Bombyx mori: one gene and its partner. The protein of the gene in region 2 interacts with the protein of the main gene of each other region in a biochemical or structural test. Links are inferred from orthologs where the notes say so. Each region holds a gene or a part of one and is shown on either strand. Other genes may lie near its edges. The genes, in order: mitochondrial fission 1 protein and dynamin-1-like protein.

What was found.
Region 1: the proteins of dynamin-1-like protein (region 2) and mitochondrial fission 1 protein form a complex in vitro, tested with the Homo sapiens proteins (2 studies listed by BioGRID). The link is inferred for Bombyx mori from reciprocal best matches to the Homo sapiens genes DNM1L and FIS1.

The regions. Positions count from the first base shown.
Region 1 is NC_085110.1:17,564,184-17,568,618, reverse strand, and holds the start of mitochondrial fission 1 protein, read right to left. Parts: upstream 3,092-4,435; 5' UTR 2,911-3,091; coding exon 2,866-2,910; intron 2,780-2,865; coding exon 2,666-2,779; intron 1,068-2,665; coding exon 897-1,067; intron 85-896; coding exon 1-84. UniProt on the Homo sapiens protein: Involved in the fragmentation of the mitochondrial network and its perinuclear clustering. Plays a minor role in the recruitment and association of the fission mediator dynamin-related protein 1 (DNM1L) to the mitochondrial surface and mitochondrial fission.
Region 2 is NC_085119.1:10,593,719-10,597,554, forward strand, and holds part of dynamin-1-like protein, read right to left. Parts: intron 3,625-3,836; coding exon 3,553-3,624; intron 2,627-3,552; coding exon 2,555-2,626; intron 2,337-2,554; coding exon 2,213-2,336; intron 1,734-2,212; coding exon 1,638-1,733; intron 1-1,637. UniProt on the Homo sapiens protein: Functions in mitochondrial and peroxisomal division.

The DNA of each region.
Region 1 (4,435 bases), on a different chromosome or scaffold from region 2:
GAGCCCTCCAAGGGCAAGGACAGCTCCTCCTGCCACCGCCATTCCAATTAAACCTTCTTTTTCCATACGTTTATTGATTTGACGCTAGAATGAATAAAATATTTTTTTCAAAATTTAATAGTTTTTTTTTATTGCTGATTGGTTATGAACAAGTAGCATTTAATAACTATGGTTAATGGAATGATGAGTGGTGAGTGGACCGCCAGAAGAGCACTTAGGATAACTAGAAATACCTAAATAGTAGAAGCTTGAGGTGAGGGCTTAATGCGTAGCTGGAGAGAAATTTACTACATTAACTTTTACCAAATTTCTTTTTCAATTTTTTTTCTTTGTCAAAAAAGGTTCACTACTCACTATTTCTTGAACCAGTATTAAGGGCTTATATACGATTATATATTATTTATTGTGATATATTTTGCTTTAAGACAATAGTTCTACAGAACTGCTGTGGGACAGTATTTATGGTTGTTGGTGTATCCCCTCCCAACCCAGTAGGCCAGTTTTGGTTTAACAGGATATTCCGTGTCATCAGCGGCTCTGAGCGGGGCCGACGTAAAGTTGTCGGCTGTCGCCTCGGCAACCTTTCGGTCAGACGTCCTAAGGGTGGCCTGGCCATTCTTGTATTGTTCATCACTAGTACCTCCCTATTCTGACTGGGTCTGACTCCAGGCGGAGATCAAACGAGGGGTGAAATATGCTAGGGGACTCGTTTGGCCCTACCACAATCTCATATGAAGTTCAGCGGACAGCCCAAAAAAAAACACATATACATACTCATATCTTCAGACTTATTGCCAAACTGACTAATGTCATTATTTATCTTCAAATGTAAGATTTCTCATGTATCTACTCTACTATTCTGCCATTCGAACTTATGTTATTATAGCTGATCTTACCTCTAATGCCAATACTTGCTGATTAGCGGGTTCAATCTCGAGGAATGATTTCACATAATGCAAAGCCTTATTGTACTCCTTTATTCTGGCATTACCAATGGCAAGGTAGAAAAGGTAGTCACGTTTGCCTTCAGGATGAGAGTTGAACAATTCTTTAAGAAGTAAGATTCCCTGTAAAGTATACTCATCTTAGAACTTCTGAAGACTTGAAATGTTTAAGCGTGCTTTGTAGTTCCAGCTGTCAAGTAAATTATACATTCTTTTCTGCTTTTACTTGATGCTTAAAAGATTAAAACTTAAGACAAAACAATAAAAAAATTAATGATTTGAATTCATTATCTTATTAACAAAAGTCCGAAAGGAGGTAATTGTTTTCTTAAATGTTTTCCCTAATCATTGGTAGCCCAAGGGGCTATTCCAACTATGCTCAGACTGGTAAATATATATCATAATGTAAACTTTGCCATCCTGACTTTAAGATAAGTCTCAATTATTTTGTGTAAGGGTTGTCTCACCTTTCAAACCAGAAAACATGACTATTATGTGGCAGTAATAGACAAAATAGTGTTGACTACCAGTGTGAACATTAATTATACACAGTATTCCCTGTTACCAGTAGTTATTAAGCAAGTTGTGGAATAATAATTGGTTTTTAGTTAAATATGTAATATAATTTCTTTGCCTTGGAAGTCAGTCCTTAAAAAACTTGCACATGCCTATGAGACTTTAACACTAAAATTGTAACATCCCTTGAAACATGTACACTGCAGACTCATCCTTTAAGCCATGATGAGTTCCATTTATTTTTAATTATCAATCTCATGTGTCCATTGGAATACACATTCAAAATAATAAAAACACTTAACTAACAGGAAATGAAATGAATGGTTTAAAAATATCAGAAACAACAATCGTTTCTTCTAATGTAGTGATATTCAGTGCTATAGTCGGATTTTTAATTAGACGAAGCTAGCTGACAGTAGCTAATGTCACTTTGTGAAATAATGTTGCTATATTTAAAGTAATAGTGATGCGTTCAGTTCTCGTTCAATCACAAATGAACAATGAGTGTGAAGAGTTAATCATTAATTTCAAACTATAAAAGAGTATTATTTATATTTTACAATAAAATTGTATTAAAGTGCTCCAATATATGTTGCTAATAGTATGTAACTACAATCAGCTTTTTTTATTTTCATTACCTACCTATAATTGTTATATTTTATACATCTATAATTTCAACTACATGATGTATTGGAAATATGACAGTCTTACAAGCTTCCTCGCAGTGTTTTTCTTAATTAAAACACTCGGTATTCAGTACAGGTAGATACTATAGGAACATAATATTTCGTCGAAAACTCGTTGGTATGTACAAAGCACGCCTAAAATTCGAAACCCGTACCCGATATCGGCAATTCGGCACACCAACTGTTCACTAGACAATCGAGGCAATTTTATTAATTCAGGAGTTTTTTCAATCGTTCACTTTGTCACAACATTATTTTTATTTCATCAAAAACTGACAACACAGTAAACGTCAGTTGACTTCGTCTAATAAAAAATCCGACTATAGTATTCTATATTAAGTATATTTGTATTAAATATTTAGATATCTTAATGTTTAAATATATAAATATGGCTTTGTTTAGCAAATTTGGCAAAAACAAGTCAAGTTGATGATATGCATAATATTCTGACATACCACTGTAATGAGATCTGTAAAATTGACGTCAGTTTTTATACTATGTATTTGTAAATAAATGTACCTTTCGTATATCCGTTGGATACTTGCTGCGCACTAAACACCATGCGTATTCAAACTGGGCTTTGTGGGAAACGTTCCCTTGATGCAATTGTTCATGAAAGACCCTCTCGAATTTCTACAAAAAAAAAAACAAACAAAGATTTATGAACAATTGTAAATTTATTTGTGAGTCACTATCAACAACAAAGTTTTAATCGTTACTTGCAAATCTTCCGATGAAACAATCTCGTCTAATACGTCTTCCATTGTAGCCGGTTACTATAAATGATAACTTTGATTAGATATTTAACGTTTACAAAAAGAAAAATAGGTGTACCGTGTAAGGTTTATTACGAGAAATTGGTAGATTTGCAATGCAGAATAAATGGAATTATGGATTGTTTGACAATTTTGACATTGAATGTTTGACATCGTTCATGATGATTCAGTGGCACTTAAGTTTTTCCAGGTTAAGAAAGGCAAAAACATCCGACCACACAGTATATTTCGAAATAATTTAGGTACTGAAAAAGTTAGAAAGTACATTTACTTAGTATTATAAAAAAGACCTAGTAACAAAGCCAAAGGGATTAAAAGTCTTTATAGAAAAGACTAAAGTCATATCTCGCTACAATTTTTCAAGCAAATGATTTTTTTTCTCTATTTATTCGTTGGTAGCTTAAGAAGCTATTCCCGACGGCTAGGTAAGCTCACAAACTCGACCTGAAAGAATTTGCTACCACTAGTCCTACTAGAGTAGGCTTCGCATAATCTACTTGCGTGTGGCACCGTTTTGTTGAATAACGCTCTGACCTTCTGACGCTTCCATAAGATATTTACGAATCGGTACTAAATTTAGATCGTCGTGAAGATTTACATTCCTCACATACCACGACGCTCTGACGGCTATCCTGCAGAAACAAGATTGGATGACCTGGAGAGAGTTAACGTGTGTACGGGCCGCATGACATGACATGAGCGAAAACCTAACGATACGAATACCACAGGCAACACACGCATAGGTACAATGTTCGAGATCCCTGCAGCAAAAGTGTCACTGCTTAAACTGAATTAAAATTACAGACAGAGATTAAGTTTAAAACATAGAGTTACTATACTTATTAACTCCATGGTTTAAAATCTATGGTACATACGGTAACCATAGATTATACACTTAATATATTCGAGAACGGTAACCACCGAACGAGAAAACACTTGAACAAAGAATTAAATCAAATCAAATTGAATTGTCAAATTTGGTCAAATTGATAAGTTCTTTTGTGGGCCGGCAATTGCTAGGTATACGTAGTAGATAGTGTAAAAGACAGCTCATAGTTTTTTTAACAACCCATAATCCTATTAGGGACATCACAATGCAAAGTGTAATAAACACAGTAAAGGGAACTGCTCTTGGCGTGGCCGGTTACTTGACACCGGTGTTGAAGGTACGTTTATCACGATCATTATTAATTACATACATATTGAAATTACTCATTATATATATGAATCGGTGACTGACCGAACATATTGATAATCTTTTTACCCTGTAAAAATAAATATTTATTTCTATGCTTCATATTTATTTAAAATGTAATATTCTGTAGTGAGTGTCTCACAATTTGAACGGTAATTCCAGAATATGGGGATTTGAGGATCATTTGCAAGTCAATTAGGTTACTAAGAAATTTGAAAACAAACCAAAGGCTTATTTATATTAACTTCACTTATTTCTAGGAATCGAAATTTCAAGAAACTGGTGTACTGACTCCTGAAGAGTTTGTAGCTGCTGGTG
Region 2 (3,836 bases):
TAATATATTTTTGCATTATGTTACACATTGTGTTAGGCATTGTACAACATCGCAACCAAATGTAATAATGGATTAATGAGAAATATAATCCTTCATAGAATACATGTACTTAAAATAGTACCACTTTTTAAACAGTGTATGAACGCGGTCTTATAATAATCGAGTTAGTAAATCGAGTGCAACCGATGAAAGAGGTGATTTATTGGTGACTTGTAAGCACATTTTTAGCTAGACAACAACTCCGGATTTAATTATCCAACAGCATTGTGTAAATTTTCCTCCAGTTTTCGAGAAAACAAATTATAATTTAAACTACTTTTTCGGTTTGAGCTCGCGTTAATTATCTCCGACATTTTGAATATTTTGATAGTTTTTGTCGTCACACGAACTGAGGCGTTATTCGCGATATTTGAAACTTCGGGAAAAATCAAATCTAAATAATAAACGTGTGGTTAACCAACCGCAACAGTAGTTTTAATTAAGCATTGTTTAGTTGAGAATTTTATCTAAAGCTTCAATCTAGTTTGTTGTGGTGCATGTACAATAGTAGGATAGTTACTCTTGCGTTTATTAAAATTTCTGATGTACATATTATTATTAGCACCTTGTTTTTAATCATATTTGCTATTGTAAATACTATTATGTTCTAAAGTTCAAAAAAGGCTGTTGAACATTAAGCGGGTGAGTACAGAAACTGGATGAGTATTCAACTTATACGCCACTATTTTTTAATTACCAAAACTAGTATTATATGCCTCCGATATTAAATAAAACTAAGATTATTTAGAAAGATAAATCGATATAAAAACCCATATAAGCAAAAAAAGTCAGGTATACGTAGATCAAATATTAACAAGGGCTATAAATTCAATCGCCGTTGCATTCATAAATCGCAGGGCACCGAAACCCGGATTTTCATTGAAGATGTTTATCTCCGAGATCTTTGCCATGTTTTTTTTTCAGTTTTATAAATCATTGCTTTAAATTATTAAACTATTATACATAATCGAAAAGAGTCCTTTTTGCATTGGCTGTTAATTTAATTTTGGTAATTAAAGATTAGTGGTGCATGAATATGACTTTAGTGATACACAAAACGAAGCCTAAGGCGTTAGGAGTGACTGCAGATTCTTACCATAGAATTTACCAACTTAATAGAATGATCTATTTATTTTAACACTTGCTACAACTTTTCAACATGTAGATGTCTCTAAGGTCAATGTTTATGATCATTATTGGACATTCTAAATGTATAATATTTGGTTATAACGTAAACCAAATTTAAAAACACAAAATACATTTATGATTATTTTTCCTTTAAACAACAATGTGATAATCACAATCTGTATAAAAATATATATAAACCATACTAGTATATGACATCAAGCAAAAACCATTACACAACACAAGAAAATTAGAATAAATATATATCTTAGTTTGTGTCACTTTTAGCTGAACATCACAGCATAGATAAAAAACGATATAGATAAAGTATTGTTTATGGCCATATTTTTTGAGTTTATTAGTATAACCTGTGGTCACTCCGACCGCTACTCAGATGATAGGTGGTCGGAAGGCTAGAGATAGCTATGAGTAAACAAAGCATAGATGCCGGTGTATCTACGGACTAGCCTCACCAACTAAATCACCCATTTGATTCAGTTGCATCACGTTGATGCCGTCTACTGTCTTTACGTTACTGTTTAAGACTGTTGTGTTGTCGCTCCGTCCACCTAGCATCACAACAAAATTGAATCTCTAATCTTATGGGATGAATATTAAGAAAACATAAGAGCATACGAGCCCACGGCCCATCTGCAGGTTAAATCCATAGACAACAAGTATGCCACCTGTTATTGAACCGAGATATGAGGTTGAAGTTTAAAGTTTTGATATAACGGCTATATCTATAACTCAAACCGGAATTATATGACAGATTCGATACTATGTTTCTGTTAGATAGTTAGTCTCATGAAAATACCTTGTTTAAAAAAATTGTTAATACGAAATTTATGGTACCAATACCAATGATTTAAATTAGATTCTATTTTAGTTATTAAAAATTATAAAATCAATGAACAAATTTCCCATAAAAAGTAAAATTACCAAAAAATTCAGTGGTTATACATTAAATTATAATTAGATTTTATAATTAAAAATGTTACTTAAAAACACTAGAGCAGCTGATATTAATATTGTACACTACACCCACCTATGACGTCACAGTCGTGTTGTTCACGTTCTGACAGTTTACGTGATGTTTGGATCGGTACTTCGGGCAGAAGGTTCACTGGCTTCTGAGGAGTCAGTGCCTTGTTGTCTGGCATTCCGTTGATCTTTAACAACAACCAAAAAAAAAATACTATACGATTTATCCAATACAAAATTCAAATACTTTCCTTTGACAAACTAGTTGAATTAGACATTTAAAAACCCCAAAGTTTAACAGTTTATTACAGTTACCAAACTAGCCTTGACCTATTCAACATAATTTAACTATATTGTCTACAAATAATGTAGGATAATTTATGTGATTTTTATGTTATTTACATACCTGTGGGGTCGACGGTGTTTCGCTGATGTTTTGTGGAGATTTCTCGTGACCATCGGTTATAGCGGGAACATTCTGTAATATTTGTAATCTTTGTTTTATAACCAATTGAAAATATTGTAGAACTCATTTGTAACGTGTACAGTTTAAGTCTCAAAGAAAACAATGAACTCAATGTGTATTTACAGAGAGACAAACGATTGCTACAATCTATAAAGCGAATGAATAGATAAATATGAAATTATTTCATTTGTTTTTCGATTAATTCATTATCGCTGACAATCAATCGGGTGTAAAATTATGCGTCACTGTAACGAGGTAATTATTGTGGCAGATACGATTACTTCACTTGAAAATCCTTTTCATTGGAACCTAGATATAGTATTTTATGCCCTTTGAGCCTTGTCTAGAATTAGTTTGGGACCGTCGCTTAAAATTTTTATTAATATTTACAGAATTATATTTTTGTGCATAAAATAAAAATCATGTCTCAAGATTATGCCATTATACATTTCGTGATGTCTTTGGACTCTGAAAATTCCTTTGCATTAGGTATGGAGTAATAGAAAAAAAATATATTATTCTTTTAATTATATATTTATATCATATGGGGCCGTGCAGGCTCTACTTGGAAGAGGAAATGCCACGACCGGGACTTATGGCAGGGTTTGGGGGAGGGAGGCCTATGCGAAAGCAAAACAATCTTTGCCGATGTTAAATGTTAGAAAAATTACATTAATAGTATGTACCTAAATATGAATTAAGATTGTTAATATGGGGAGCTAGACTGAACTTTAAAGTAAAAAATGACTAATCAAATATTCCGATTGTTTCTACTGACAATCGCTCATAGGTCGACTTCACTGTGATCATGAAAAAGAGTCCATACAGTATTCAAATGGCACGACATCGAACGTCACAACACAAGTTTAGTAGGACAATGAATCGAGAATGAGTGAGGCGAGTTAATGGCGACCCGAATATAACCACGCCACAATTACCTTGTACGCGTCCAATACGCTTGCCAAGAATACTAGGGCGGACCCTCTTTCACCCATTTGTCGGAGAAACAGCTACAAAAATTTCGAGATAGTAATTTATATAACCTTAACATATCGTTTAGATGAGGGCCGTCCAAATTACATACCTTTGCGGGCTAATTAAATTTACTAAAAAAGCTGGAAGGGGCCGCAGAAAAAAATATTTTCAAAAACAAAATACTTTCCAGACTAAAATATTAAAAAAAAAATTATGTAAAAGATAACTTCACTTTTAAATGATGTCA